Linked DNA regions of Tamandua tetradactyla. The protein of the gene in region 1 interacts with the protein of each later gene in a pairwise test. Links are inferred from orthologs where the notes say so. Each region holds a gene or a part of one and is shown in the gene's direction. Other genes may lie near its edges.

Evidence for each region.
Region 2: the proteins of TRIM63 (region 1) and PDHB interact in a two-hybrid assay, tested with the Homo sapiens proteins (2 studies listed by BioGRID). The link is inferred for Tamandua tetradactyla from reciprocal best matches to the Homo sapiens genes TRIM63 and PDHB.
Region 3: the proteins of TRIM63 (region 1) and MYOT interact in a two-hybrid assay, tested with the Homo sapiens proteins (2 studies listed by BioGRID). The link is inferred for Tamandua tetradactyla from reciprocal best matches to the Homo sapiens genes TRIM63 and MYOT.
Region 4: the proteins of TRIM63 (region 1) and PKM interact in a two-hybrid assay, tested with the Homo sapiens proteins (3 studies listed by BioGRID and IntAct). The link is inferred for Tamandua tetradactyla from reciprocal best matches to the Homo sapiens genes TRIM63 and PKM.

Annotation. Positions count from the first base shown.
Region 1 is NC_135328.1:200,138,523-200,146,139, forward strand, and holds the start of TRIM63 (E3 ubiquitin-protein ligase TRIM63), read left to right. Parts: upstream 1-4,489; 5' UTR 4,490-4,628; coding exon 4,629-4,787; intron 4,788-5,670; coding exon 5,671-5,843; intron 5,844-7,617. UniProt on the Homo sapiens protein: E3 ubiquitin ligase. Mediates the ubiquitination and subsequent proteasomal degradation of CKM, GMEB1 and HIBADH.
Region 2 is NC_135341.1:26,472,498-26,480,653, forward strand, and holds the start of PDHB (pyruvate dehydrogenase E1 component subunit beta, mitochondrial), read left to right. Parts: upstream 1-4,866; 5' UTR 4,867-4,940; coding exon 4,941-4,982; intron 4,983-5,077; coding exon 5,078-5,131; intron 5,132-6,037; coding exon 6,038-6,145; intron 6,146-6,235; coding exon 6,236-6,298; intron 6,299-6,406; coding exon 6,407-6,442; intron 6,443-6,600; coding exon 6,601-6,886; intron 6,887-7,424; coding exon 7,425-7,535; intron 7,536-7,846; coding exon 7,847-7,938; intron 7,939-8,156. UniProt on the Homo sapiens protein: The pyruvate dehydrogenase complex catalyzes the overall conversion of pyruvate to acetyl-CoA and CO(2), and thereby links the glycolytic pathway to the tricarboxylic cycle.
Region 3 is NC_135346.1:17,384,203-17,391,876, forward strand, and holds the start of MYOT (myotilin), read left to right. Parts: upstream 1-4,560; 5' UTR 4,561-4,690; intron 4,691-7,369; 5' UTR 7,370-7,535; coding exon 7,536-7,674. UniProt on the Homo sapiens protein: Component of a complex of multiple actin cross-linking proteins. Involved in the control of myofibril assembly and stability at the Z lines in muscle cells.
Region 4 is NC_135338.1:70,093,053-70,101,367, forward strand, and holds the start of PKM (pyruvate kinase PKM), read left to right. Parts: upstream 1-5,031; 5' UTR 5,032-5,110; coding exon 5,111-5,160; intron 5,161-8,315. UniProt on the Homo sapiens protein: Catalyzes the final rate-limiting step of glycolysis by mediating the transfer of a phosphoryl group from phosphoenolpyruvate (PEP) to ADP, generating ATP.

The DNA of each region.
Region 1 (7,617 bases):
ACGCATGAAAAAGATCTGCTCCGTGGTAAACCAAGGCCCAGCTACATGGACGTGAAGGGGGAGCGGGAGGGTGTTTCCCATCTGGCATCTCTACCGCCTGGGCCTGCGTCAGCCCTGGGAAGCACTGTTCTGAGGAACCAGCCATGGGGGAGGTGGACAGACCCTCGAGGATCATCTTGTACAGTTTCCCAACTGGGCAGATAAGGAAACAGAAGGGGGTGTGGCTTCCCAGATATCACATGGTGAGTCTCTGGCAAGGCTGGAGATGGAGGCCTGGTGTCCAAGCCCCAGGCCAGGGCTCTCTCCCTGGAGTCAAGAAACCTCAGAATCTCCAGTTTCTGAAAAATCCCCTCTCTAGCTACCAGTGTGGGTAAGGCCATACATAGACTTTGGAGCTAAATGGGCCTTTTTCAGCTCTGACTATACCAACTGTGGAACTTGGGACAACTCCACACACTGATTTATGCCTTAATTTCCCCATCTGTAAAATGGGGATAATAGGCATGCCCTACTCACGATGATTTTGAGGACTGGAAGAAATAATTCCAGGGAGCCCTCGATAGATGTCCAGTCACTTGCAAGTGCTAAATTAATAAAAAATAGTACTATCGTGATGATTTCCTTCCATGTCTCCCTTTTGCTTGCCAGGCCCAGACCATTCTCCCTCATACTTTGCCTGCCTCCCACCCAGTCTGGCCCCTGAGGGCACTACACCTTCCCCCACTAGCAGCACAGACTTTGGAGACAGTCCCAAATGAGATGCCTGTTATTTAGCTGGGGAACCTTCCAGAAGTTACTTAACCTCTCTGAATCTCAGTTCTGGATATGTAAAAATGAGAATCATAATGCCCCCAAATCACTCTGTGATTAATCAGTGGCGCAGAAGGAAGGAAGGGACCAATGAGACAAAAACAACAAATTGCCACGTGTAAGATCTTATCATTCTAATAAATGGTAATGATACTGACTCAGCTTTTGACTGGCTAGGAGCCCTTGACCAAGAGTCTCATCCCTTTGAGATTCTGTAACTCAGCTGAAAAACAGGGGAAATCATGGTCTCTGTCTCACTCAGTTATTTTGAGGATTGAGTGAGATGATGAATGCAAAGGGCTTAGCACAATGCCTGGCATGCAGTAAGCACTCAATAAATGTTTCAATGGGAGGAGCACAGGTTTAGGAGTCAGGCTACCTTGGATGTGAACCCTTTCTCAGCTCTGCCACTTGGGGCTGGGTGACCAGCCAAGCCAATGAACTCTCTGAACTTCATTTCCTCATGGGAAAATGGAGATCATAATACCTCCCCTACAGGACTGTTGTGAAGATTAAATGACAAGTCATGGCCTATGTGGGAATTTCCCTTCTCACCCCTTGACTTTCAGCACTGCTGGGCTTGCCAACCCCCAGGCTGGAGTTGAGCCCACTGTCCATTTGCTCAGCTTCTGTGTCTGGACTGCCAAGTGTGGGTGGGAAGTCAACAGAACCGTGCGAATGACTCCTCACAAATGACAAATCTGTGTTGGAAACATCAGCAAGGCTCTTCTGCTCCCAGACTTTCCTTCCACTGGTTTCTAGGGCACTTCCTCTTGTGTTTCCCACTGACCAGCCCAAACCTTTTCCGTCACCCTCTCATGCTGACATTCCTTCTGCGTCAGCATCAAGGAGTTGACCTCAACTCTCTTTTGACCAAGGTCATCATATAAAAGCACCTTTCTCTCCATTTCTCAACACCTCTGATTCTCTCCTCCACCGTTTCCTAGCTCCTTCCCAAGACTCTAGGATGTACTCCCTCAGCTCTCCTTCCCACTTTCCAGTGCTCTCTCTCTCCTCTGGCTCTACTATCTCCACCAAAAACCTTGTTCAAGTACTTAATTTCCCCCAAGCCTGACAGTGACCTTGCAATCCCTTTATTTAATTCATTCGTTCACTCATTCACTTGTTCATTCATTTAAGAATTATTTATTGAGAGCTGGGCCTTAAGGATACAAAGATGAACAAAGACAGTCTTTGCCTTCAAAATCTTCAAAGACGGGAGGGAGTGTCACACTTACAAACAGGTGATGGCAATATGACCAAGGAGACACAAAGATGGATCCCTGCCTGACCCATATTACTAGGTGTGCAATGGGGGGAAGGGGGAGCCCTAAGATCACTCCCAACTTCCTGGTTTGTGTAAATGGGTCGATGACAGCACAGCAAGACAGGAAAAACCGAAGGAGAAGCTAGGTGTGGGGGAAGATGATATGTTCTGTTTGGGATAGGGTGAATTTGAAGTGATCTTGAGACCCCATAGAGATCCTCAACATCTGCCGCTTTGAGGTGAGAGTAGTCCGGACTGGAATTAGAGATCTGAGAATCGCTGGCATTTTAGGAATTGGAAAGATAAATGCATATAGTATGCTTTTGGCTGCAGGCAACAGAATAATCACACTACAATGATGTGTTATTTCACATCGTTAACACCTTCAGAGTTGTATAAATGGGCAACACAACGGAAGGCACCTGTGACCCAGGTGCTTTCTTTAGCTCCTCTCTTCCATCCTCAGAGTGTTGATTTCTTTTTCCTTCAGGCTTGTCTCATCATGGTTGCAAGATAGCTGCTCCATCCTCTCACCACCCCATTCAAAGGCAAGAGGGAAGTTTTCTCCTTACACATTAATTTGTATCAAATCTTTTCCTTTATTCCCCCTCCCCCAGCAGACTTGACCTTGAGTCTCATTAGCATAGCTACCTGTATACCCTTAGGCAGAGGGGAATGGGATTACCATGTTAGGCATGAATCTTTCATGATTTGTCTCATATGGCAGTGGAGAGGCACGGTGCTGCCTGTGCGTGAACGGAACTTTCGTGAGCAAGGAAGAAGGGATGGTCTCTTCCCACCCTCATCATCCTTTGTCCCCCCGCTGGCCTGGCAGTGCTGAACCACAGTTCAGTGAAGACATGAGGCGCTTGAGCTCCTGTTCCCAATATATCCAGGTTCATGTCTTAAATCCACCTTCTGCTGGCCTTGTGACCTCATTCAAGTTACTGTACCTTTCTGTGCCCAAGTTTCTTCACCTGTGGAATAGGGTTTATAATGGTTCTTTGCGCTGTTGCCATTGAGATCTTAGAATGAAATAATACTCAGCAAAGTGCCTGACACATAGGAAGTGCTTGGCAATAACTAGCCATTAACGTTTTACGGGGACTACCCTTTCCTTAAAATTTTCTTGCTTTCTTTTAGGTCTCTTCTTCTTCCGACTGGGTTTTCTTCTTCTTCCTCTTTTCCTATCTTCTCTTTCTCTTTCCTGCCTCCTCCTCCTCCTCCTTGTCCCTCTCGTTTCTCCCTTTCTCAAGGTTGGTTCCTCTGCCCTCACCACTCTCTAGGTCTTATCTCCTGGTTCCAATCACCAAATCCTCTGGAGGCTGAGGTGAGTGAATCAACTCTGCTGAATCTCTCTCTTGAGACCCTGGACACACCCCCTGTAAGTTCCTCGACCTCTTAGGCTCTCATCTTGATACTCCACCCACACTCCCACCCCAGGATGGCTCCAGCATTGCTTTTCTCGAGGCGCTTCCCTAAAAAGAGACATTGGAACTGCTCAAATGACTTCTACCTGCCAACATGAAAGGTGTCCAGAAGGACAGGGAGAAAAATTAAAATTTGTGCAGAGAATAGAGGGGAGCATCTGAATCACTTCTAAATATCTAGGCAGGGACTTTGTGGCTAGCTCTCTTCCTAGGCTGTGAGCCTCACAGGTCAGGCAAAAGAATTACTCATCTGTCACCTTTACTAGTTAGCACCTGAGTAAGTGCTCAGACAAGTGTTTGCATGGATAAGGTTCTTCACTGCCACTTACTCTCTAAGTAACATTGAACAAGGCCCTTTCCATCCCTGGAGCCTAGTTTCACAATCTGAAAAATGAGAGGACTGAACTGCACCTTGAGGAAGCCCTTGTAGCATTAAAGCAGATTTGGCGGCCAAGGGATGGGGGGACTGGGAGAGTCATCAAAGTCTCCAGTAAAATGCGATGCTCAGGTCGAAGGCAGAGGGATGGGCTCAGAAAGAGGGCTTGCCCTGACCCTCATCTTGGGAGCTGCCCAAGACTCTAGAGGAGGGTCTGGACCTGATGTGTATCAGAAGGTCACTCTCCTGTCCTTGGGGGGGGGGGGCCATCGGCCATTAACCCCTCAAATCCCAGTGGCCCACTGGATGGGTCCCATCCCTAGTCACCATCCCGGAGTTGGGGGTGGGGCGACCAATTCCTGGATGAGACACTGGGTCCCCAGTCCTCCCGGAAGCCAGCCCCTGAACAGGCTGTTCTTGTTTACGACCCCCATCCCAGGGGACAAAGATTGCTCATCCCCACACGTGATATGAGAAGGCGAGCTTCTCAGGCCTGGAGGAAATTCAAGCCCCGCCAGCAGCCTGGCATGGGGATGCTCAGCTGGTCTTCTCCCGGGGCTCATGTGACTGGGGCCCAGCTATAAATATCAGAGGGGCTCGGACCAAGGCAGAACACGGGCGCCGGAGGAAGGAGGCAGAGGGGCTCCGGGTGGGTGTTTTGTGACAAAGGCCAGGGCTCCAGGTCTGCCTGGGGTGAGGTGCGGGTGAAGGAGGCAGCCAAGTGGGCTCCCACATCACCGACGACATGGATTATAAGTCAAACCTGATCCAGGATGGGAACCCGATGGAGAACTTGGAGAAGCAGCTGATCTGTCCCATCTGCCTGGAGATGTTTACCAAGCCGGTGGTCATCTTGCCGTGTCAGCACAACCTGTGCCGGAAATGTGCCAATGACATCTTCCAGGTCAGTGCCGGCCGCTCGGCTTCTTTGTGATAAAACACTTTCTCCCTTCGACCAGGACCGAGGCTGGTTCCTGCCTCTCGAAAATGAGTCTTCTGGCTCTTTCTTCCCCAAAATGAGGCCCCCCCGCCATGTCGGCCTGGGTGGGGCGGGGTGGGGAGGCAGCTCTTGCTGCCCGGGTCCTTCTCCGGGACGTCTGCTTCTCCTCCCCACCTCTGCCCTGAGCGTGGCAATTGACTCTCCACTCAAGAGTCAAATGCCTCAAGTGATAAGTCGGGGAGGCAGGCAGAGAAGAGAGAGAAAACAGACCCCTGGGGCTGGAGCCAGGCCTGCGGTGGCAGGGGGCCCAGAGCCTTGGGAGGAGGGGCGTGAGGGGGCACTGGGCACTAGAGCATCTTCTCTTTTGAGGCTGTTCCTTATAATATGAAGGTGGGGGAGGCCGGGGGGGGCGCTCTGTTTCCCTAAAGAAGGAATGGAAGTAGACGTCCTGCTTGGGGGGCAGGATTCTGGGTTCCCCAGGAGCACTTTGCAAAATGCCCTCTCACCGTTTTATCTTCAAAGTAGAAGCCATAGGGGCTTGTTCTACTGATTATGCCCATTTCATGAATGGTCCAACTGAGGCTTAGAGAGATAAGGTTGCTTGGCCAAAAATTACTCAGAGAATAGATGAGGCTTGAACCCAGTTCTGTGGATTCCCAAAGCCAATGCTTACCTATTGATTGCTCAGCTGCTTCTTAGATGATCCGTCTGTAAGATGGGCTGGTTCTCATCTCAGGGTGGGTTTGGCAGGGATGACTGGGGTGGGCGAAGGGGGAGGGGAACAGGAGATGAGTTAGGGAAGGGGCTGGGAAGGCGCCCAGGCCCACCTCCACCTTGCCATCTGCAGGCCGCAAATCCCTACTGGACTGGCCGGGGCAGCTCAGTGTCCATGTCCGGAGGCCGGTTCCGCTGTCCCTCCTGCCGCCACGAGGTGGTCATGGACCGCCACGGAGTCTACGGTCTGCAGAGGAATCTGCTCGTGGAGAACATCATCGACATCTACAAGCAGGAGTGTTCCAGGTCAGCTCTCCGGGCTACTGGGATCCCGCCCTCCTTTCCCAGCCATGCCGGGCACAGCTCGCCCAGGCTCCTTCCTCCTCCATCAGCTGGGACCTAAGCCAGTCCAAAGGGCCATTTCCCTCAGGCTGAAGGACAGAGGCCCATGCCCCAGCTCAGTGATGGGGAGGGGTCAGGCTGCCTTGCAGGAGAGACTGAGAGAGAAACCAGGGGAAAGATGAGAGGTGACAAGGAATGACAGGCATTGGGACCTGCAAAATAACCCAAATAAGCAGAGAAAAAGTGTCCGGTGAGAAGGCAGCCAGATTCTCCCTCCTGATAGCAGCAGCCACCCTTGGATGCCCTCACTGGGCACCAGGCATGCCACACCTTGGGGCCTCACCACAGTTTTATGCACCAGGCGCAGCGTTCATTATTCCCATTGCACAGATGAGGAAGCTGAGGCTCAGAGAGTTGAAGTCATCTCCCCAAGGTCATGCTTCCAATTCATGGCTAGGCATTGGAAGAGCTAGGAGTGGGCCTGGGCCATAGAGCGCTGAGTCTCCCTGTTTATAAAACAACAGCCCAGTCTCAGGCACAATTTGTCCGTGAACAGAGGAGGACGTGTGGTGTTAGGCTTCAAGCTGGAGCGATCTTTACAAATCAGGACATCCTGACGAGTTTCCAGGTTGCTGACCTGCTGCCATTATGGTCTAAAACCTTTACTGAGCACCTGCCTGAGGGCAGGACCTTCCCCGATGGAGGGGGACAAAGCAGGCCCAGTGAGGAAAGGCCCTGGCCTGGGCACTGTGTTTGTAGGCTGACTTGAAACTAACACACTGTAGGATCTCGGGTAAGTCACTGGCTTTTAGGGCTTTGTTTCTCTTTGTCTGCAGAAGGGGACAATAAGACCTACTATTGTGATTATCAAATAGGAAAACAATAGGAAAGGTAAAAAATATATATATATCAAATATTTATTATTTGATTTATAAATAAAATTATTTACTAAGCACCTACTCGGTGTGGGCACCATACTTTATGTACATGGCATTCTTACCTCTATTTTATGATGAGGAGATGGAGGCTCAGAGAGGTGCAGAGGTTTTTCAAGGTCACATAGCTAGTAAGGGTTTAAGTTGAGAGAAAGCCTGGATTGATTGACTCCTAGCCCTCTGCTAGATGGGCTCTCATGGTGATAGAGCATGACCCTAAAAATATAAGCAGACTGTTGATAAAACCACTATCATGCCAAAATACTACTTAGTGGCTAACTATGAAGGACACACTGTTCTTGACCCCTTCAAGACCTTCCTGCACAGTTATATGACAGTGAGAGCTGCCGTCCATTGAGGGTCTGCTCTGTGCCAGGCATGACCCATTCGTTATAAACAACTCCTGCCATGATCCCAATAGAGAGGTGAAATCACTGGTCTGAGACAGATAAGCGGCAGAACACTCTGGATTTGAACCCAGATGCTGAAGCCTGGGCATCTGGGATGGTGGTGGGCACAAGGCACCACATGCACAGGACCTGTGCCTCCTCTCAGCCATCCCAGTGCTCCCTTCCCCAGGGACAGAAACAGATGGCAAAGGGAGATCCTTCTCAGCATGGGAGACCTGGGCTCAAGATGCAGAAAGACAAGGTATGCAAAGGGGCTTATTGAAGAACTTGAGGGGCAATCAAGATTGTGCATTCGGGTAGAAAAGAAAGAAGAGACTCTGGACCCTGGAATGAGTCTCTGGTCGATGAATCAAGGCTTGTGCTGAACTGTTGAATGGCCCTGGGTTACCCACA
Region 2 (8,156 bases), on another chromosome or scaffold:
AAACGTAAAAAAAAAAAAGAGAGAGAATATCTTTCTATCTTGGGTTAAACAGAAAGCTCTTAAACATAATAACAAAAGCACAATCCATAAAAGAAAAAAGTTGATAAACTGGGCTTCACAGATTTTAAAATTTTTGCTCTGAGAAATACCATTCTAGTGAATGAAAAGATAAACCATGAACTAGGAGAACACATTACAAATCATATATCTGTTGAAGGATTTGCATATAGAAATTATGAAGATTGCTCTGAACTCAACAGAATGGAAACAATCTAACTAGAAAATGATCAATACCATGAACAGATACTTCTTCAAAGAGAATAGACTGATGCCAAGTAAGCACATAGGATATCAGTATATACTTCTAAGAATGGCTCAAATTTAAAAATAATGATAATACCAAATGCAGGAATGGAGAGCAACTGGATATCTTATACGTTGCTGGAGGTAATGTAAAATGTTACTGCCACTGGAAAAAGTCAGAAGTTTCTTAGAAGTTAAACATACACTTTACCATACAAATGAACTTCGGGGTATTTATCCTAGAGAAATGTACACTTATACTCACAGAAAACCCTGTAAACAAATGACCATACCAGCTTTATTGCTAACAGCTAAAACTGGTAAGAACCCAAATGTTTTCCGATGTGTGTAAATGGGTAAACCGATACAGCCATGCCATAGAATACTCAGCAATAAAAAAGACCAAAATATTAATACTGATACATGCAACAACCTGGGTGGATGCCAAGAATATTATGTTGAGTGACAAGAGAAAATCTTGAAGAGTTACATATTGTATGATTTCACTTTTTTTAACTTTTAATTTTGAAATAATTCCAGACTTAGAGGGGAGCTGCAAAATTAATACAGAAATAGTATATAGCAGAGGCCTACCCCCCTCCATTAAAATGGCAGAGTGAGACATTCCAGGTCCCCTTACAAAAATTTTGTTAACAAGCATAACCGGCTGAAAAATTTTACTCAAAACTACAGAAAACAGTTAAAGGATTACAGTAACAGAGCAAGAACCAAATCAAGAAAAAGACAACTTAAAAATGGTAGGAAGGGGGTGCAAGGGTAGCTCAGTGGTAGAATTCTCGCCTGCCATGTGGGAGACCTGGGTTTGATTCCTGACCATGCACTTCCCCAACAAATAAAAACAAACAAACAAAAAACCAAATCAAACAAAAAAAGTTCAACAAATGGTGCTGCAATAAGGGGATACTCACGTGGAAAAAGAATGAAATGTGACCCCCGCCATACAGCATACAAAGAAAAAGAAAGTGGTAGGAAAGCGTTGTGGTGTCCATGCTGACGCCTCCCCCATTCACTACAGGCTTCGCCCTGGGTCAACACGTGCTTCCCATGTGGGCTCCTGGTCCTGGCTCTGGAGGGAAGAGAGTAATCTTTGTATATATCCTAGGAAGCGTGTGTGATTGTGCCAATCTGTCTGGGGGGCAGTCTGAAGGACTGAACAATGACATGCATAACAGGCTTGTCATTCCAGAACTTGCCCTATGCCTTGAAGTGGCTCACAGAGCTCTCTTTCAGGATGCTATAGGAGAACAGTCAAATCACAGCTGCCTGACACAGTTGTGCTGTTTTAGTTTGTTAAAGCTACCAGAATGCAATATACCGAATGGCTTTTAAAAAGGGAATTTGTTAAGTCACCTTTGTTCTAAGGCTGTGAAAATGTCCAAACTATGGCATCCAAGAAAAGTAATGTTGATTCAAGAGAGGCTGATGGGTCCAGAACACCTCTGTCAGCTGGGAAGGCACATGGCAATATCTGCTAGCTTTTTCTTCTCATTTCATTAGGCTTTCCTGGGGGTGTTTTCCTTTTGCATCACCAAAGGTCTCTGACTGTGTGGACTCTGTCAGCACTAAAGCTTTTTCCAAAATGGTTCCCTCTTAAAGGACTCCAGTTAGCAACCTCACCTTGAATGGGTGGAGACACATCTCCATGGAAACTATCTAATCAAAAATTATCACCCACAACTGAATGGTTAACATCTCCATGAAAACAATAAAAAAGATCCTACCCAGCAGTACTGAATATGGATTTAAAAACTTGTTTTTTCTAGGGTACAAGATAGTTTCAAACTGGCACATGTGCCCACCAATGGGACATAATATTGCAAATGGGAATTGCAAGGAAACACTGTTTCTTAGGGGAATAAGGACATTCAAATTTATGTAAATGAGGAAATTCCTAGGGCCAGAAATTCCTAGGACAAGATGGAGGCACAGAAATAACTGAGGTTTTCCCAGGCTTTTGCCTCAGGCTATTCTCTAGACTCAGTGTATCACTAAACACTAAACACTAGTGCAGGCCAATCTGCAAAGACTGGGAAAGATATTCTCTCTCTCTCTCTTAATCCACATTCAAGGAAATCTTGACATCTCTGTTATAGCTCTAGCTGGATACAAGATGAAGGAACAGATACTTCAGAATCTAAATTCTAGTCATAATGCATTAAAATATCAAAATGTCTAGGTTGCCACAAAAGATTACAAAACATACAAAGGAACAGAAAGCTATAGCCCATGCAAAGAAGACAAGCATTAGAAGCCATCAGTGAGGAAGATCAGACCTAGGATATACCTCACAAAGACTCAAAAATGGTCCTAAATATGCTAAAAAGAGCTAAAGGCAAACATGGACAAAAACAAAAGGAAATCAAGAAGTTGATGGTGAACATAAAGTAAAAATAAAGAGATAAAAAGTTATGATAATGAACCAAACAGAATTAAAGTCCAAAGTAACTACCCAGTAATGGGCATAGGGTTTCTGTTTGGGTAATGGGAAAGTGTGAGCAATGAATGGTGGTGAGACTAGCATAACATTATGAATGTGACTTATCCCACTAAATGGTATGCTTGGGAGTGGTAGAGATGATAAAGTTTATGTCACGTTTGTTTCTGCAATTTTAAAAAGTAAGAGCATCTTGAGGCTTGCTCTTGTGAAGCTTATGAATGTAGTAGAGAAGCCTAACCCACCTATAGGTATGTCTAAAAGTCACTTCTGGAGGACCTCTTTTGGTGCTGAGATGTGGCCTTTCTCTCTCTAAGCCCAACTCTGCAAGTGAAATCACTGTCCTCCTCTCTACATGGGACATGACATCCAGGGATGCAAGTCTCCCTGGCGGCATGGGAGATGACCCCCAGGGATGTGTCTGGCTCTGGCACTGTGGGATTACCAATGCCATCCTGACCAAAAGAGGGGAAAGAAGCATAACAAATAAGGTGTCAGTGGCTGAGAGAGTTCAAACAGAGTTGAGAGGCTACACTGGAGGTCACTCTTTGGCAAGCTTCAGTTAGACACTGCTACATATCATAACTTGCCGAACCCCAACCAAAACCATTCCAGCCAATCCTAAAGAACACTTAGGGCATTATATAAGATTCTACGAAGTCTCCACACACTAGGGTAATTTTCCAGAAACCTACAACCTCCAGATGGGTCCCTGGACCAGGTAAGCCCTAAAATGCAGAGGGGCCAACCCTTCCAGAACATCAACTAGTTCTATCCCCCATTCTATATTATCAACACCCCCTTTCAACATGAAAAAGCTAGAATGGGTATAGCCCATATACGCCAGAAAACTGGAAGAAAGGTCAAAGGTGATTCAAAGAAGGTTGGGTTTAACAAATGAGTATGAATGGTGAATTATACTGATGTTTCTTTCAGCCTCCAGTATCTTAGAGCACCTAGAAATAAAAACTTAAAATTATAGAATTATAAGCCATACCAAACTCTGAAATCTGTTCTACAACTAATTGTTCGACTGTACTTTGAAATTTTTTGCTTTTATGCAAATATGTTATTTAAAGAGAAGGAGTTGTATAACAGAGAAGACAGGATTTAACAGATGAGTATGACTGCTGAATCATTATACTAATACTTCTGTTAGTCTCCAGTGTCCTGGAGCAGCTAGAAGAAAAAAAGAAAAATTGTGGAACTGTAACCCATACCAAACTTTAAAATCTGTTCTCTACTTGTTAAAATGTACTTGGAAATTTATTGCTTTTTTGTATATGTTATATTTCACACACAGAGTTAAAAAAAAAAAAAGAGTAACTAAACAGACTAATACAATGAAATACAATACATGGTCCTATACAGAATCTAATAACAGAGGAGAAAAGATCCAAAAGAACATTACTGAGACATGAAAATTGGAATATAGACTTTAAGCTCTATGTCAATGTTAAATTTCTTGAACATGACAATGGTACTTAAGGTGGTTACATAAGTGAATATCCTTGTTATTAGGAAATGCATATGGAAGTATTAAGTGTTCAAGGAACACGATGTACACAACCTACGCTCATATATTCAGAAAATGAAGACAGTGCTTAGAAGATGGACTGACAGATGAACAGATAGAATGATATGACAAATGTGGCAAAATATTGAAATTGGTGGATTTGCTACCTGGGGCAGTGGCTAGGGTATGCAGCAGTTCTCTGCAAGGATCTGCATTATGTTTGCGGCTCTTCTGTAAGTTTGAAATGATTTCAAAATTTAAAAATAAATTTAAAGAAAAAATATGATACTATGAATACTATCAAAGCTTTTGGTCGCGTTCTAAGGAACCACCAGACAGCGCTGTACAGAGAAGCTGGGCACTCCTCAGGTAGTAGGCTCCCGATTATGAGAGTGTGTGCAAGCACTGCTTGGTGCCGAAAGAATACTATTGCCAGCAGATAGCTGGCCCAACCTTTCGTCAATGTTTAGTTGAATAATAATCCCAGATGGAGAGGCAGGAGCACCCCAGCCCTGCTCCTTGGTTCCTCAACCGGTGGGAGAATGGGCGGGGCACGCAGGCACCGAGCCATGCCATTGGCCCGCGCTGGCGGGAGAGGCGGGGTCTGCCTACGTCTGTTAGGCCCGCTATGTTGTCATTAGACGGCGGCTAGAGGACACCAGCAAGATGGCGGCAGTGAGTGGGCTAGTGCGGAGGCCCCTTCAGCAGGTGAGCAGCCACGCGCGGGACGCGGTGACTCTGCGCGGATCCCACCCACCCTGCATATTCTCTGACCGTCTTCTCTCTCTCTGTCTCCCCGGTAGCTGTCCGGGCTGCTGAGGAGGCGCTTCCATCGGACGGTGCCGGCAGCGCTGCAGGTAACTGACTGGGCAAGCAAGGGGGCCGCCTCATCTCCGGGCTGCAGCCGGGATCGCGCCTGCGCGGAGGGGAGGGCTGGGGGTCGCGGGATCCGGAACCGTGACTTCCGCGGCTTGCGGGCGGTGCGGCTCCGAGTCTTTTCGTTTCCCTTTGTCCAACACATTCCTGCTTGTTCCTTAGAACTCCTGTAGGAAGCCTTCTTGGGCCCCAAGCGGGGTTAGGCACCGGCCTCTCGCTGTCCTGTGCTTGCCCCTTCCGAATTCCCTTCGCCCCCAGAGCCCGTAGTCGAGTGCGGCTCGTGCTACTTCTTTCGCCTGGCGTCAGTGGTGAAATAACCCTGCGAGTGTGGTCGGAATCAGATGGGCCATCTGTGAAAGACTTGGAGCTCCTTTTCCTTCCTTCCCCGCCTCTTCTTTTTTTAACCGGAGGATTTGACCTGGGTGGTTAGATAGTACTTCCTAGGCAGGTTTCTGAGGGTTAAACAAGATGCTGAACAGTGTTTGACAGTGTCTCGTCCTCAGAGGCTTAGTGTCAGTTGTTTCCTTGAAGTCGTGTCCAATAATCCCTAAGGGTGTTCTGTGCCCAGTAATTCCTAAGTGTGGACATAAAACAACTCGCTATACTTTCTACTTAGGAAACAGCTTGTGAACTGATCTGGGCAGCAAGCATTTTTCTTATACCTGGGTGCACATTAATCTCTTATTAACACATCCAGTTAAAGACTGGCTGTGTGTGGTAGAAGTGTTACTTTTAGAATTTTTTGAACTTTTAAGAGAAATCCTGTTGGGGTGTTGCTTTTGATTTTGTATGCTGTGGACAGCCCAGGGTAAGTATAAAGGGAGAGAATCTCAATAGTATGTTAAATTTATCCTGTATCTTACGGACTGTCGCCCATACTTTGACAGGTGACAGTTCGTGATGCTATAAATCAGGGACTGGATGAGGAGCTGGAAAGAGATGAGAAGGTATTTCTGCTTGGGGAGGAAGTTGCCCAGTATGATGGGGCATACAAGGTAAACAAAATATGTGAAAATCATACAAAACTTAAGTGACCATTTGTCTCCCCATATACTTTAAAGTAATGAGGACAACCCTAATTATAGGTTAGTCGAGGCCTATGGAAGAAATATGGAGACAAGAGGATCATAGACACCCCTATATCAGAGGTAAGGCTTCCAGCAGGCAACAGACCTTTGAGGGACATATTTGTTAAAGGGTATATTGCTGTTATTTTTATGTTTTCACTCAGATTGTCCTTTGGTTTATATTTATAGATGGGCTTTGCTGGAATTGCTGTAGGTGCGGCTATGGTATGTAATATTTTTATATGAAGCTCATCCAAAGAGATTTCTTTTAATGTAACTGTTCAAAGACATCATTTGAATGTTGGAGGAAAGGAGTGGTTGTTTGCCATTCCTCAGTGCTGTGAGTTTTAGTCCTTTTAACGTCCATGTTTTTGACTTGACAGGCTGGGTTGCGGCCCATTTGTGAATTTATGACCTTCAATTTCTCCATGCAAGCCATTGACCAGGTTATAAACTCAGCTGCCAAGACTTACTACATGTCAGGTGGCCTTCAAAATGTGCCCATAGTCTTCAGGGGGCCCAATGGTGCCTCGGCAGGTGTGGCTGCCCAGCACTCACAGTGCTTTGCTGCCTGGTATGGGCACTGCCCAGGCTTAAAGGTGGTCAGCCCCTGGAATTCAGAAGATGCAAAAGGACTTATTAAATCAGCCATTCGGGATAACAATCCAGGTCAGAGATTGTTAAAGAACTAAAATGAAATCTTTGCATAGAAGGGACCATTGGAGGTTTCTAGCTGGGCTTAGATATTTCATATAAAACATTAATGATTTACAGATACAGTTAAGATGGTAAAGAATGTGGTTGTGGGCGGGCCATGGTGGCTCAGCAGGCAAGAATGCTTGCCTGCCAGGCCAGAGGACCCAGGTTCGATTCCCGGTGCCTGCCCATGTTAAAAAAAAAAAAAAAAAAAAAGAATATGGTTGTTTTCTTATTTCTGATCATAAGGGGGCCATTTATGTGAAGGAGACTTTTCTGCATACCTACAACACTGGCTTAATCTCAATAGTTATGATTAGGATTGATCAAACTACAAATGTAAATAACTGAAACGATCCTCAAGACTTATGGACGAATTGGAAGTGAGGCTTCCTAATCAGCACAGTGGATCTCTTCACAATGTGAATAATATTGTTGTATATATATTTTCAGTCATTCTGGATTTAATTAGAGTAGTCACATTTGTTTAAATGTTTTTAATATTTTGCAGTGGTGATGCTAGAGAATGAACTGATGTATGGAGTTCCTTTTGAATTTCCTGATGAGGCTCAGTCAAAGGATTTTCTGATTCCTATTGGAAAAGCCAAAATAGAAAGGCAAGGTAAGAGAACTTCTTAAACACTATTTTTTAATCCAGCCCCTCTACTTACTCTTTACTTTGACTAAAAAATTTAGGCAATGAGCTGAAGTTAAAGAGTGTATGATGGTGTGATTTCTCATATACTTGTGCTTTTTTAAACCTCAGTCCATTAGGTTCGCATTTAGTTTCTAGGAAGCTGCCACATTCCTCCTCTCACTGGAATGAAGTTGAATTGAAGACTTTACAAATGAACAAAAGCCACAGTTTTCTATAGAGCAGGATAACACCTTTAGTTTCAACTTGACCTCTGATCTGTAACCACTCTGTTTCAGGGACGCATGTAACCGTGGTTTCTCATTCAAGACCTGTTGGTCACTGTTTAGAAGCTGCAACAGTGTTATCTAAAGAGGGAGTTGAATGTGAGGTAGGTGGACATTCTTGTTCTTAAAGAATCAGCGCGGCTTCTTTTAAATTTAAGGCCCCTAAATAGGAGCTTCAGGTCTGTAAAAGGTTAACTAGATGCAAATAATCAGTCTTGCTCTGTCACTCAATTCTGGCCTCTGCTTGAAGCTGGAAACCTTCTTGCCTTTCAAATATTTACCTTAGCTTTTTACGAAACAGTTAGGTTCTGGATCCTTCTCA
Region 3 (7,674 bases), on another chromosome or scaffold:
ATACTTGTACATTTTTGGTATCATACAGAATTTAAAATCCCAGGAACTATTGCAACCGAGAAATCAAGATTTAAGGGATGATTTTGATTATTGAATCATTATATAAATACTCTTTTCTGCTTTCTGGCATATCTGAGTAGACAGGAAAATGCCTGAAATCTCTGAATTGTAATCCAGCTGCTATGATCTCTGATAATGGTTGTACAGCCCTTATCTTCTGCCCCTGTGATTGTAAAAACCTTGTGACTAACCTTCACCTGTACGTAGTTATCCAGTTTTTCAATTTTAGAGTCTTGTAATCACTAAAGATAGCCCCTTAATGTTTGTTAATGAAGGGTCTTGTGTCTGCCCAGAACTAACCCACCCCAAGTCCCAAATTATCTTGATGACCAAGACCAGATTTAACCTAAGAGGGCCTGTCTGACATGCTCATTCGCTTAGACTTTAACCTACAAGTCACCAATACCTCATTCTGCCATTTTCTTCCATACATTCTGTGACTAAGTATGTAATCAGTCTGCATATGCGCAATAATTAGATCACCACTAATTACATCATCTGGAGCCACTGTGCTCATTATCCTAAACCCTACCCACCTTTTCTCAAATACAACTATCCAAATTTTGGATAGTTTGGGGAGACAGATTTGGGCCGTTAATACTACATGCCTAGTAATAAACTCTTTCTCTCTTTGAAACCCCAGTGTGTTAGGAATTGTTACTGAGTGTGTCAGGCAAAAGAGTCCACAGCTTTTGTCTAGTAACACTATCAACACTCTAGACATTATGTGGTTCATTCCTTCTGTCATTTCAAACATTGAAAGTACGGTCTATATGTTTTTTCCCTGTTCAATTTATGTTTACATCTCCCACATTCATACCAGTATAAAGCCATTGAATTTTGTTAGATTTTTTACCAAGTCTTATAGTGATTATTTAATGTCTATAACTCATTTTGTGTTTTAGAGAAAACCTCCACTTTGAAAATCGACATTCTACAGAAACACATCTTTAATGCCTCCAGACAAAAAAGTCTTACAGCTAATGTTTGCACTTTGGAGTGCAACTTAGCTGGGAGGGCCTGACAAATGAATGGGAGGGGGCTATAAATATTTTTAGTAAAGTGTTACTTTTGACTTGTGCAGAACATGTAGAATATGCTCTTTAATTTAGTAAAATTTTTTTTAAAGGTAGAGATGCTTTGTTAGGGTAGCTACAATAATTCTTAATCAAAATTTCTGAAATTCTTTTAATTTTTTTCCATAGTTATTGGAAATTGTTTACCAACTATTATTTTTGTTCAAAGTGTAATTTATTTTCCTTTTTTCACCAACCTCTCTTGCAAAAAAAGAAGTAGTTTTCTGCTAATGATGCAGCATACATATGTTATATGCCTTTTGAGCTGCGTAACCTAATATTTGGTTTTGATAATTTGTTTTAGTATATAGCTGATAAATGTAATGTACATTAATGTTAGTTCAACCATATATTTATACTGTCTTGGAATGTGTGGTTATACATTTGTGGGAGAAATAATTTGTCAGTATTCACCAACTTGTAAAATCTTTTAGTGTGAAACGTAAACATCTAAATAAATAAATGAAAAAAATCAGCATTCTTGACTATTTAACTAATATAAATAAATGTAGCCTCTGTTCACTACATAAAAATTTTAAAAATTTTAAAAATTATAAAAAAATTCTTGGATTTTTAAGAAGGGATTTATTAAATAGTATTTAGGCCTGTGAAGTGAGAGAAATAGATTGCTAGAGATGGAAGGAATTAGAGTGCTACAGTAGGATTCCCTTTCATTATATGTCTATTCAGAATTTCAATAATCACAGTGAATTAAATGTAACCTGAAAATAAAATTTTCTTCAATCTTTAGTCCTTTTATCCTCACTGGACATTTTCCTTTTTAGTTGATAGAGCAAAAATGAGCTCCACCAAGTACATCTTACCTCTGACTTCAGAAGAAGTTCACAGCACTACTCTTACAATAGCGTATAAACTTTACATTTTAAAAACCAACCAAGACTATATATAAAGAGGGATGAATAAGTGACAGTAAAACAGCTGCCCTGTTTCCACTAATGATAGGACAAGAAAGAATTCTTTAACATGCATGCACTAAGAAGGTTTTAGTGAGAAAGGCAGGAAGTTCCTACATTTTGTGAGGCATTAGAATGATTTTCCAGAGGCCCCTACTGATAAATTAGAGAAAGAAATGGAAAGTCATTTTTGGAGGCATAGTGGAATATGGTTCTCCCAATCTGACATCTTAATGATTCTTTCAGTTTTAGGATTCTATGATTTTTCTCCAATAAGCAACTAAACCATTCAAACAACCACCTTTGCAAGGAAAATTTGAAACACCATTCAAAAAAGCAAAACAAATATTAAAAAGAAGAAAAAAAAGACATAATAGATTATTAGGCATACACCCTTAATCACTGGAAATGGTAGAACCTATCTTCCTTTCCTAAATCATCTCTTGATCCCCTTATTGTGGCAAGAACCTTTATCTTGATGAACCACTGAGTTGTCACACAGTAACCAATATCATGTCTTACAAAGAACTAGAGAAAAGAAGCGGAAAAGAATAAGAGGAACTAAAATTCTTCCTTAACTGTGGTACATTCAAGACCGGTGCTAGGCAAACTGGGGATTTAGCAGTTTGTCCTGGATATCTTACCAACTTGGCTGGTGGGGCATGTCGCAAACTTTTAGGTACCGAGGTACCTTAAGTCTAAACTCTTTTTGTATTAATCAAACCCTTTCTCAGTAAAGAACCAAATATCAGTCACATATACCACATTTAAAATGTTTAGAATAGTGCCTTGCTCATAGTAAGTGCTGTATGTGTTGGTTATTCTTATTTGTATTATGTCCCTTGCATTTGCATTTAAAATTCTAATTTGAACTAAAAGGCTTTGTCCCTGTTAATGGAGTTTAGAATATCAATGAGCGGCTGTAAGGAAATATTTTAAGGGACTCCTGAAGTAAGACTTTACAACCACACACTCATCAGGTTTAGCATGCTTTTTCTACTAAGTAATGGCTGTGTGTCCAGGTGTTTCAGTTTGCTAAAGCTTCTGGAATGTACACCAGAAATGGGATGGTTTTTACGATGGGGATTTATTCGTTTACAAATTTACAGTTCTAAGGCCATGAAAATGTTCCAAGTAAGGAATCAACAGGATGATACCTTCTCTGAAGAAAGACCACTGGCATCTGGGGTTTCTCTGTCACATGGGAAGGCACATGGTGTACGTCTGCTGGTCCTTCTCTCCTGGGTTTCGTTGCTTTCAGGTTCTGGCTTTTTCATCTTCTGTGGTTCCTTGCTTGCCTCTCCCTGGTCTTTTCTCTCTGTACTCTCTCCAAACTTCTCTCGGTAGAGCTTTTTCTGTGTCCTTTATCCTCTCATAAAGGACTCCAGTAAAAAGGATTAAGACCCCCTTGAACTGGGTGGGTGGCATCTCAATTGAAATAACCTAACCAAAAGGTCCTACCCACAATAGGTTTGCACCCACAGGAATGGGTTAAAAGAACATAGCCTTTTCTGGGGTATATAACAGCTTCAAAGCAGCTCACTAGGTGACAATTATTAAACTTTCTCTGAACACCAAAGAAAGGCATACCAGTGTGGTCAGCTGTGGGGAATTTTATATGACTTACATATGCTCGAACATCTATTTGTTGGACCCTAGTGTACATGATGATTAAGTCAAAATTGGGGTACCCATGAGGGAAGGGAATAGACAGATATGCTTTACACATTAGAACCATATCAAAATTGAAGCTACTAAATGGAAATACTTTACTCTTTTGGTCTGAAAGGAAACTATAACTGTTAGCCGTGAAGGGAGATGAAAGAGCTTTGACAGTACAGAGTCCTGATTATACAGACTGCTTGTTTCCTTAAATCTTTCAACAGTCCTTTAGAATACTGGGTCAAGAAAGAATACACAATACAGATTCAGCAAACTTGCTAAAGAAACTAAAACATGTTTTTCCACCACCTCTTCACCTTCCTAGTGACGTTAGTTACAGTCCTATTGCTTTCCTGCCTTTGCCCGGACCACACCCCCTTTCTTGGAACAATCTGTTTGAATCTGGCTCCACCCACATTCTCATTTGACAAGGCAAAAAAAGGGCTTCAGAAGAAGGACTAACCAATACAGTTCAATTTGGAGTCCATCCATCACTGGTCTCATCTCTGGAGAAGTCTTGAAGAACTCCAGTCTTAGAATACTGACCATTTTATCTTTGGTCTCTCTTTCTCTCTCTTCTGCAAGGAAGATTCAAAGTCCCACCACAATAAAGAAATTGCATTATTATACTTTTTTCTGCTTTCCAATTCACTGTTCTTCCCCCTCTATGAGCTTGCTCATAGTCAAAATTAACGTCTAAAATAAAGAGGCCTGCAAAAGAAGCTCATGTAATCCCACTCCTTAAATATCAGTAAGACATCTGAGATATTGTTTAGATTGTGGACTCTTACTTTGACATGCTAGCATAGGTAGATGGACAGGCAAGCACATCAGATGTCACTGTTTGGCAGCTGACAAAAGTCAGTGGTGCTATAATACTAAGCACAGAGCCACTAGATTAGTCTGTGAGGGAAGGGGATGCCTCTTCCTTCCCTTCAGTAGTGGGTTAAACCCAGCTGGCACCCTCTGGAGCAACGGGTAAGTCCCTTCTTTATTCCTGCTGCTGTTTTGGGCTTTGTTTCGTTTTCCAAATCAAAGGGAATGTACCAAGGTGATCTTAAGATAAAAAGTTTGAAAGCCACAACATCGTAATGATACTAGTATACACAAAGGTTTGAAGAGAAAGTGACCTATTCATTTCACTGAATCTCAAAGGCATTATAAAACAGTAGAGGGAAAGATAGTTGTGTCATTTTTAAATCATCATTAGTCCTTGAAAAAGGACACATTATCTGACTATAATTGTGGAAATGTTTTATGGCTTCAAAATATCCCCTATCAGTCTTTGTGCAAGTGCATGCTATATTAGAGATAGGAAAAAAATATTACTTAAAAAATTCAACAGTGTTTTATTGTTAATACTTTTGAAATATATGTAGCATTGTTTGAAATAAAATGACAGCATCATGTAATAGAATCTACTACAGAATTTAATTGTTGGTACAGTAACTATAAGCATGAGAAAAAGCCTTTTAGAGTTACTTGTGAAAGCATCTGTACAAAATTTTAAGATATGGATAAAATGAAACTTTTGAAAGAATTTTTTTATCAATTTAATTATTTTTATTTTTAGCTTTTATTATTTTAGAAGATAAAGTTAGATGATACAAATTTCTCAGTAGATATATTTAACTTCATTCCCAGAGAAATCTATCCTCGTTTCATCATTGTTTTGAAATCACTTATTTTTTAATAGGGCTTTTAAAATGTCAGTAATTGCTACTTATGTAAGCTGATTCCAAAATGTATATGGTAATTGACATTCTGAACATATATGTTAAGAAAAATAGTGAATCCTTTCTGGAAAATATCTACCAGCTACTCCTTAAACATTCTTTGCTAGTTGAAATGAATCTGAATAATTTGTTGAACCAGAAAGGAACTTAAGAACCAAACTGTGGGTTCAATTCTGCAATAGAATAAATACAACCTATACCTGTAAAACTACAGTCTTCTTTTTTTTTTTTGAGAAGATATAAAGCCTCCTTCGGGATGGTTTTCCCCCAAAACTTAAAGGTCTAATGTAGTTCATCAAACTAAAATACACTCTGATTGAATTTGCTTGTGTTCATAAACTTGAAATTAAGGAATATATGAAATTTTATGTGTTATTTTTCATAAGTTAGTATCTAAGATGTTTAGTTGCATTTTTATTGTTTCCTATAACTGCTAGTTTTAACTTAACTCAAAACTACATGCGCAGCTTTAGGATGAAATTGTTTGGTCTGGAAAAGTTTCATTAACAACATTTTCTTCCAGATAGGAACTTAAATAATTATAAGATTTTGTCTCAATAACGACAGTTTGGTTAATTTTATCAATTAAAAGTTAGACTTATTATTAACTGTTTGTTTATACAGTGTACAACAATGTATTTTGAACTAAATTACATGATTATTTTAATAAAAATAGGATCAGTATTATAGTAATTTATAAGGCTAATCTTTATGTGTAAAGTCTTCATAGTCCTGCTTAGGTTTATCATATTAACAGAAGCAATCAAAGGCAAATATAATCCTTGAAGCTTGATTTTAGTGGCAAATGATTCATCTAAGGAAAAGGGGGGATCCACTATAGGAGGGCAGAAGGACCACTGAGGAACTGAGATAAAAATGGCATCCAACTTCTCATGGTAACGCATAGCTAGCTTCACTGCTGTCTTACTTCCTTCGGTACCTCCCATTTGCCATTTCAAAAGAAAAAGTTAAAGGGATAAAACAATTTCAAAATTAGTCTAAAATTTATATTAAACAAGTAAAAAACAAAAAGTAAAAAATCTAAACAATTAAGAGAACACTAAGAACAATATCCAAAGTATAATCTAAAAACCAGAAAATTTACAAATGGCTCTGGAATGCTATCAGTAACATATATTATACACACAAAGGCATACATACAGACAGACAGACAGATACATACACAGTCACCCCTAATTATCATCTAGTTTGGTACTATGGTCAATTTAGAATCATGGGGAGAAAAAAAGTCAGTGAACTATCAGGTAAAAAAGTTCCACTCAAAGTTGACAACAGTGAACTGTATTTTGTGAAACTATGAAAGGGCAAAGTAAGTATGGACGTTAAAGTAATGTTCTTTACTTTAGCAGTATATTGCTTCCTTTCATTTACCAAGACTCTAATCATCACAGTTCATCAGGATATGAATTAATTGGTATCAGAAGGGTTGTTTATCTAAACTGATAAGCAAAAGGAAGAATTTAAACTGGATGAGAGCTGAAATGTTATATATTTTATTGCCATTAATTTTAAATAATACTAAATTTCTGTGGTTAATGAAACTGTGACCTCTGGGCAAAAGCTAATCATGAAACTATAAAATTATCAAACTGAGAAACATCACAGAATTTCCTTTCAAAATTATCACTTGGAAAATTTAACTTTGATCTCCTGTATCATGAAGCTCCTAGGCATGTTTTCTCAAGAATCACTTGGGGACAACCAAACACTGATTAATCCTTTTTCTTATTCTCAGGGGAAAAGTCATTTGCTAAAATCAGAGATAAAGGAGGTCTAGAAGCCAGGACAGTTCCAACTTGAAGCTACCTTAAAAGCATATAAGTGCCTAAAGATGTTAAATAAACAGTAGGTTGTTTAAAAAAATACTACAACATATACTAATCATTTTCTCTTTTTTAAGGAACAATATTCTTCAAGAGACACCCACTCTATCAAAGGATCTCAACAAAAAGAGGCAGACCAAAGTTGCTTCTGATTCCTTGCAGTCCCAAATACAGGACCCCACCCCTCCAAGAGCAAATCATTATAGTAATAACTTGCTTTCATCTTCCACATACCAGCTAAACATGTTTAACTACGAGCGTCCAAAACACTTCATCCAGTCACAAAACCCATGTGGCACCAGACTGCAGCCTCCTGGACCGGAAACCTCCAGCTTCTCCAGCCAGACCAAACAGTCTTCCATTATCATCCAGCCCCGCCAGT
Region 4 (8,315 bases), on another chromosome or scaffold:
GTGGTTCTGTGTCAGATAATCCAAACAGATAACAGCAATCTATACCGTCACTCTCATACACCAATCCACTGAGCCTAGCATCCCCTCCTCCCATCCTAACCAGTTTGGTGAGCATAGGGGAAGGGCTGGCTTTAGGAGGTAGGGCCTGGCCCCCTAGGCTGGTCTGTACTCTTTGAATTGGGGTTTGTTCTTGAACCAAAGAAATCAAGATTCAGGAAAAGGACCTAGAGAACAAGGGCAAGCTGAGTTACTTGGATCCAGAATGATGTTCTGACACTGATCACAAGGACTACCCTCCAGGACTAGTCCTACAGAAAGAGAATACCTATTGAGCACTGTGTTAGACTCATTCACGTACATCATATCAAACATCAACCTATGAAGCAGGATTTGTTCTCAACTTTTTAATTTTTTTTGCATGAGCAGGTACCAGTAATCGAATCCAAGTCTCCGGCATGGCAGGCCAGAACTCTGCCTGCTGAGCCAACCGTGCCTGCCCTCTCAACTTTCTGTTAAGGAACTGGACTCTTATATATTAAATTGCAGGACATGGTCATAGAACTAGTGAGTGAAACTGGTACTAAAATATGGAACCCAAACTCTTCAATATTATACTGCTTCTCAGCAGAAAAATGACTTTGATCTCCTTAAACTCATTGCAGCAGTATTTCACTATGCATCTAATGTGAGCAAAGATATGCTAAGTCTCTGTTAAGAGTGTTACGGCAGCATTTTCATAACGGGTGATCAAAATCTGTACTGAAGGACAACAGTTTGCCACTGGATTTCCAGTTTAATACAGGTGCATATAATCCCGGGAACATATCTATATTTAGAACTTTAAACTTATATTGCACATATTCCAGCATTGCATTTTCCAGATCACTTGCACACTAGTGTTGCCCAGCACTGTAGTTCATCCTCAGCTCAGGGGTCACATAGGGCCATTTATGCCATCCCCCTTTCTCTGGATAGGGAGGAAACTGACTCCCTGGTAGGGCTTGATATTTTTTTCTCTCAACAACTACATGTCCTTTCACAGTTTAATAACTAAGCATTTACTTTCTGTTGACAACCAAAGGAATGAGAAAAGGCTTACAAAAGAAATAAATAGAAAAAAATTTATCTAAAAAAATTTAAGCTGCCACTTTCTTCTCCCCAGCTTATCTGAGCTAACAGGAAAGCAGAATAAAGTCCTGTGATTCAGCTGCAGGCACAGTGCCTGCTTGAGCAGGTTACACCCATTGGTCTTATTTTCTAGGAAAACGAAAGAAGGAGCCTAAGAGAACAGATCCACTATTTTGAATGGGGAAACATATCTACTCTCAGAGGTTGGCTGAATGAAGGCAAAAGTTGACAGCTGTTTCATTGATAACAGTGTTCTCATCACTGGTTATTGGCTAAAAACTGGGGAATTGGAAAATGTCTTCTAAAAAACTGAAGAAAAGCTCCAACAATACTGATTTAAATAGACAAGGTTGAAAATGGAAATGCGGACCCCTGCATACATTATCAACTTTAATGATATTCCTTAATAGCTCTGCCCTAATATTAATGTTTTACATTCGCTTTTTACTCTCAAGCACTCGTTCTGCAAGATTCCAGCCCCCTATAAATGTATTCTCAGGGCCTCAACCAGTCCTTCCTTGTTCCGGGATCCTAGGATAATAAATAGACTTAAAGACAAATGAGCATTGGGCTCCCTCTCCCCGCCCCCCTTAGCTCCCCTCCCAGCCCCGTAGTGCCTGAGTCGCCTATGAAGGGGGCCTGGGCCGCCTACCATCCCATGTGTCTCCATTCCCCCTTCTGGTCCCGTCTTGGGCGCCACACCTCCTGTTCGGCTGTTCTACGAGGTGTGTGCTGGGACAGGCATCCAGAAGGGTGGGGAGTACTCAGCATGGAGCTGGGAGAACACCGTTCGTGGACTTAGAAATTTGAGAACTGACCGATAGCCCAGGGCAGCTGGGTTGACTGGGTTGGGAGCTGAGAAAAGAGACCCAGTCCCGCAGCCCAAGTTGGCGGCAACAGGTGTCCGGGGCGCCTGGGGGTCCGGGAGGGAGGTCTTCGGGGTTCCGAGGGCGGGTCCTGCTACCTCGCCGCTTGCCCATTGGCTTTTACAGTCTGTCAATGAGGTAATTTTTAATCATGTGTCCTTCCGCTGCGGAATGTAGTTCTCCCCAAAAAGGCAACCTGAAGGCGCGTTCCGCTTGGGCTGCACTTCTTACTGAAGGTGACTGAACCGAGCGAGAACGCGGAGGGGCGGGTCCAGGGTGCGGAGAGCCAGGATTGGGTGAAGGGCGGGACCGCGGAGGGAGTGCAGCGGCTCTGCAGCCGTGATAACCTTGAGGCTGAGGCGTCTGATTCCCGCAAAGGAGCGTCGCGTCTAGAGCTCCGCTTACCCGACATTTGCAGCGCAGTTTGAGCAACACCATCCGGAGGTGAGCGGCGGGGAAGGCTGGGCGGTTCAGGCGCGACCCGCTGGACTTCGGGTGGTGCGGAATCCTAGCCCGCCTTTCCCTCAGGTCACCCCTCCAGGGGTGGTTCAGGATCCTGAGCATCTTGGACCGGCCTGGGGTGAGAGGAGAAAGGCTGCTTGCGCCTACGGCCTGCTCTTCAGAAAGCCTTAGCTCTCTTTCCTTTCTCAGATATGTCAGCCAGCCCCTGTCATTCCTCAGTCCCACCCCTCTTCTGGTTTCATCCTCTCCCTCCTCAATCTGGTTCCATCTTCGCCTTTCTTCTTTTATTCCCTCCTAATCTGATGTCTTCCTCGCCTTCCTGTTCTCCCCCATCCCCCACTGTGTTCCCCTGCTCACCCTCCTACCCTTCCGCCTTAGTACAAGACCCATTCCTCCCCCTCGTGTTCAGCTTGTCCATGTCCCCATCATTTCGATGCTTTCCTTGTAAACGCTCCTCTAAATTCCCCTTTATGTCCCATCTCTGTTCCGCCTCCATTCGGGTTCCGTCGGCCCTTCCCGCGTCCTTGCCCCCTCATGTCTACCCCTTCCCACATTCATGTGCTCACTCCCGCTCCTCCCCCTCTCACCCCCTCCCTCATTCATGCCCTGGTCCCCGCCCTTTCCCGTCCATTTTGGTCGCGTCCACGCCCCCTCCGTTCTGGTCACGTCCGCTCTCCTCTTCCAGGTCCCCCATCTCAGTTTTGTCCTTCTTCATCCTGGCTTCCCAGACCGTCAGGAGAAAACGGCCTGTGGTCTTGGCGGGAGGCAGTGGGTCACCGCCCGAAGTGTACTGGTCGCCCGGCTGAGTCAACTGTGCAGCCTAAGGGATGCCAGGCTCCCTGGAGGGGATGAGGCGGCGGCCCGGGGCACAGGATTGTGTAACCCTAGGCCCTCCTCGCAGCAGGGGAAGAAGTGATGGTTCCTCCTGTGGCAAGTTCCTGTTTCTTCCCCGGATTCCATGAGGCGGGGGGGCGGGGGGGGCGGGTGCTGCAAGAAGTCTGCGCTGCCCCGGTGGGGGTGGGGCGCGTCGCGCGGCTCCATCTCGCCGCGGTGAGGCTGCACGTAGCGGTCCTGTGCCCGGGACCTGTCCCGCCAGATGGCTGGCCCTGCGGGGCAGTTACCAGCCAGACCTAACCGCCCAGCCGAGAAGCTGCTGGATGCTTTCCCGTGGTCTCCTCGCATTTTAGTCACTCACGGAGTTCCTTGTGTCTGCTGACGTTTATTAGCAAATGCTCCCTGACTGTAGAATGGAGAGGCCACGGGGTGGAGGGAGCAGGTTAAGCGAGAGGAGAGGGGAATCTGAAGAGCTCGAAGCCACGTGTTGCGTACCCTCCGTAAAACTCCTGTGCCAAAGCCAGTTTTGGGGAGTAGGGGTGATATACAAGAGGAAATCGGGATGCCCACAGCGGTTACAGCTCCCAGAGTTCACAATCCAAATAGAGGATATGTATTTTATTACGGTAAGTGCTATGAGGAAGCCACTAGCCTCGTGCTGGGGACAGAGCGGCAGGATGCCCACAAGGTGGCAGCCACACTGGATTTGAAGAAGCAAGGAAATCACCTTGTAGTTTGAAGGTTATTGAGAAACACAGTTATAGAAAGGCATCCCTTGACTTCTTATATAATCTTCTCCAAACCTAGAACATTGCTGTTTCCTGCCTCCAACCCCATGTATGTAAAATGAGCCCAGAAGTTTCAGTAACAATGGGCAGAGGCATGGGTGAGTTGTGGAGAAGAAAACAGACTTTAGAATCAGGTTGACTTCACAACATACTGAGATGACTGAGCGAATTCAGCCTCTGGACGTAGGTTTCCTATATGTAAATGGGAGCAATATTATCTGTATAATTGTTGAAAGGATGGGTTTCTGCACACACCTACTGATGTATATGTAAGTAAAGACACAGTGCAGTGTCTAGCATCTAGAAGGTACTGCACAAATGGCAGTTGATAAAATCTCATCTCTCCTGAGATGTCCAGGAGAAATGCCTTCAAATTCATTTATTATTTTGGTCACTGAGCACAGTTGCTTAATTCATAGTAGACCATGAGGGCCTGAACTTCTCAATTTGTCTCTCTACCATCCCTAAGCACATACAGTTACTCTTCCAGTCAGGATCTTTAAATGCCAGAAATCTGAAACCAGTCCCCTGAGGAATTCATGTACATTGTTTACAAAGTAACTAATAATATTACTTTGCAAACCTCCACTGGCAACCTGGGCTCTTTGGTCTCATGAGATCTCTGGTCTTCTAAGCCAGCTGATGAAAGGAAGGCAGGGAGAGGAATAATTTCAGGCTTTGGTGTTTGGTTGTAAGAGTAGAAACAAACTTGCAACACCAAGACTGAAATCTTCAGATACCAATCCTTGCAGGTTTCCAGGTGAGATTCAGGGACTTAGTTCTGTACTGGTAGGTATGAAGCTAGGAATCAAGGCAGGGATAGCTACCTCCAGTTGGCAGTGCTGAGGGTGTGGCCACTCCCTAGGGTACAGAGGAGGGACCTGGATCAGGACTTCCTCTGCAGCAGCATTGTTACCAAATAATTTGCCTCCTGGTTGCGTGAAGGTGCTGTTGGTAATACATTATGCTGTTCTGAGGGGAAGGGTATGTAACCCATCACCAGGTGGGTGAGTGGGAGGCTGTGGGCGGAAGATGACTCAACCTTTCAACTTAGCTGCTTTTGAAAGAATTCTCCTTATCGGGTGAGTGGGGAAACTGCATTGCAGTACTTGGAGGCTTGAGAAGTCCCCTCCCTTTTCAGTAGTCAAATAATGAAGCATGCGTTTTTGCCAAATAAAAATGTCTCAACTAAATGAAAAATTATTGGGTCAAATTCTCAGGCTCTGTACTGCCTTAAGAGCTTAGGTGCAGTAGCAGAGCCCTGTGTCCAGGTGAGGCAGTCTATCTGTCTGCATTCCTGAGCCTTTTCTGTGGTGGGCATAGCAGCCTCTCAGTGGGTTATCCTTTGAGCACAGGGGCTGAAGTGGACATGATATTACTTGATTTTTAATTTATTTTGTTTCAGCTTTTATGGAGGCAAGTGAGGATGCATTGTCTTGGCAATAGCTAAGACTGGGGATCAAGGTAGAGGAAAATGATGCATTTGACGTCATTGGTATTTCATAATCACTCCAAGTGTCCACAGTTAAATCCCAACCACAAGAATGAGTTGTCCTGTGAGCAGTTTTATTACAACCTTGTTGAAGATCTTTGTGAAGTACATATTTGGTAAAAAAAAAAATCTTATGGGACCTTGAGTCATCACTTTAAGCATCAGTTGTGGTATATAAGGAATAGTGCTGTGTGACTAAATGTAAGAAATGTACCTTTCTTAATACCACTGTGCTTTTGGGGAGCTTGCGTTTTTTCTCCAAGAGCCAGACTAGACTGGCTAATTGATTAGTTTGATAATTTGGGGCTTCGTTAAAGCATTTTAGGAGAAGATGAGCAGCACGGGTGGTAAATAGTGGGATGCAGCCTCTGCAAGACGTTTTGGCCTGGTTCAGCTGTTCAGCTAAGGGATCACAGGGGGGTTGCCAAGGGGTGCATTCCCACGCCTGCAATGGTATGTGTCTGGCTGCACGTAGGAGGGACAGCCAGGCTGCAGTACCTCTGGTGGCCACTGAGACTCCCTCCACCAATGTTCCCTTTACCCCCACCCCCACCCTGGCCATGTCCTTAGGCAAAGCTCCTGGAAAGCTCTAAGCCTTTCATTAACTGACCCCAGCAAGCTGTGTTTGAAAGCCAGTCAGAGGCTGGGGAGGGAGTGGGGTGGGCTGCCAATACCAGCTGTTGTAGGGCAGCGAGATTGTTGCTCATAGCTGCTAGCTAAATATGCAGTCAAAATATTATTTGAATGGAGCCCATCCTGAACACCTTTCATCAACATCCAGATACTTTTTCAACTTTAAACAACTGGTGTCTCTAGAGATGACTCCAAAAGAATTACCTGGTCAGCTGAGTAACAGCGATGACATATAGCCATTCCCCATTTTGGAAGAGACCAGGAATTTTGAGTTAAGAGGTAGGGAGGTAGGTGTACGTACTAGTAAACTTTCTAAACAAAACTATCCCAATATCCCACTTTTGTTACTACGTTAGAGAGCAGACTAACAAATGATCATCCATTGGGTTGGCAAACATTTTTGGGGGGAAGGGTACATGGTTTGGGAATTGAACCCAGGTCTCCCGCATGTAAGGTGAGCATTCTACCACTGAACCACTTGTGCACCCTGGCAGACATTTTAAATGCCTGACAATATCAAATGTTGGCAGAGGTGAAGGAAAGCAGGATTGATAAAACTGCATTAGAAAGCAATTTGGCAATAAATAGTAACAGAATAAACATATTCTATCATCCAGTGATTCCATTTCTAGATAAAACTCATAAATACACAAGAATACATGTACTTAAAGAGTTTTCATAATATTGATTGATATAGGGAAATTGTATTAATGGTGGGGGTGGTGATGGTTACCAGTAGGGTGACACATAAAAAATGGACTAGATATACAGTGGACTAGTAAGGAAGTTAAAATGAATTAATTAGATCTATATGCCAGACTAGAAGGATCGTAAATGTAGTGCTGAGTATAAAAAGCAAATGATGACCCAAAAAAAGGATATATACAGTATATATTTTAGACTAATTTTTTAAGAACACAACAATACCATAGTATAAATATAGATACACTGTATATAGACTCAGAACTAGAAGGAGACAAAATTCATGGCAATGGCTGGGTGGCAAAATTCATGATGGCATGTAGGAAGGTTGGTTTGAGGATGGAGAAAAACTGAACTGATTATTTGTATTTCGTATTATTTTAAAAAAATCTACAAGAAAATATGGATGAATTTTGTGGTCTGTTCTGGGTAGTAGAAATATGGATATTAATTTGTTTCTTTTATTTATTTTAAAACAAAATAAGAAGTAGTTCTATGAAGGTCAATGTCAGAAGACGAGTCATACAGTCATACTAACTAGGTCAGTACAGGCACTACCCAACCCCTGCTCCCCTCCACTGATTGAGGTCAGCTCCTCTAAATTCTGAGCCAGTGCCTCCCCTTGTTGAGGCATTCACCTGCCCTGCTTGCATCTGACTTTGGAGGGAGGGCCCTTGTTGCTTCTAGAATGGGTATTATGCCCAAGTGGCAGCTGAGGAACTCTGCCCAGTTTTTTAAGCCTAGGCTTAAACATAGCAAAGCATAATAAAAGTTTCACTCAAACTTTCCTCCTTCAAGGTGAAATCAATTCTCAAACTTTCAGGATCGAACCAGGAAATCCTAGGTATCCAAGGACATAGGAATTTCTCTAGTTTGCTGAAGTTTAGTTGTCCATTTGGGGCTAGACCCATTTATTATTGGTTTTTGTTCTTTATTTCACACTCTAGTTTGAAACCGGGCCTTAGACACCTGCTGAGATTCAGGTTGCTTAGTTCTAGTGCTGAAGAAGTAAAGAGGCGCAAGGGAATTTTATTTGAGCCTACAAGTGAACTCATTTTGTTTGTTTTTACAGCTCAAGACTTTAATGTGTAGTGAAAGATGAACACAGGCATTCTCCAAAGGAGGAGAAGCCAGCTCACTTTGTTTGTGTAGCCTGATAACAAAAAGACTTTGCTTTTTGCTGTGAGTCCTGCTGAGGCTAAAGTGTGAAATTCTATTTCCCTATTCCATCAAGGAAAAGGATCATCAGATCTTAGAGAACAGGCTGCTTTTAGTGCCAAGCCATTACTTTCTAATGGCCACTGGAGTTCTGAAGATTTGGGAGTTGAAAGCCTCCATTGCTAGCTTGGAGTCTTAGATGTATAAGTAGCAAATGGGAGTGGTGTTAGAGTGAGAAAGAGGGATCATCTG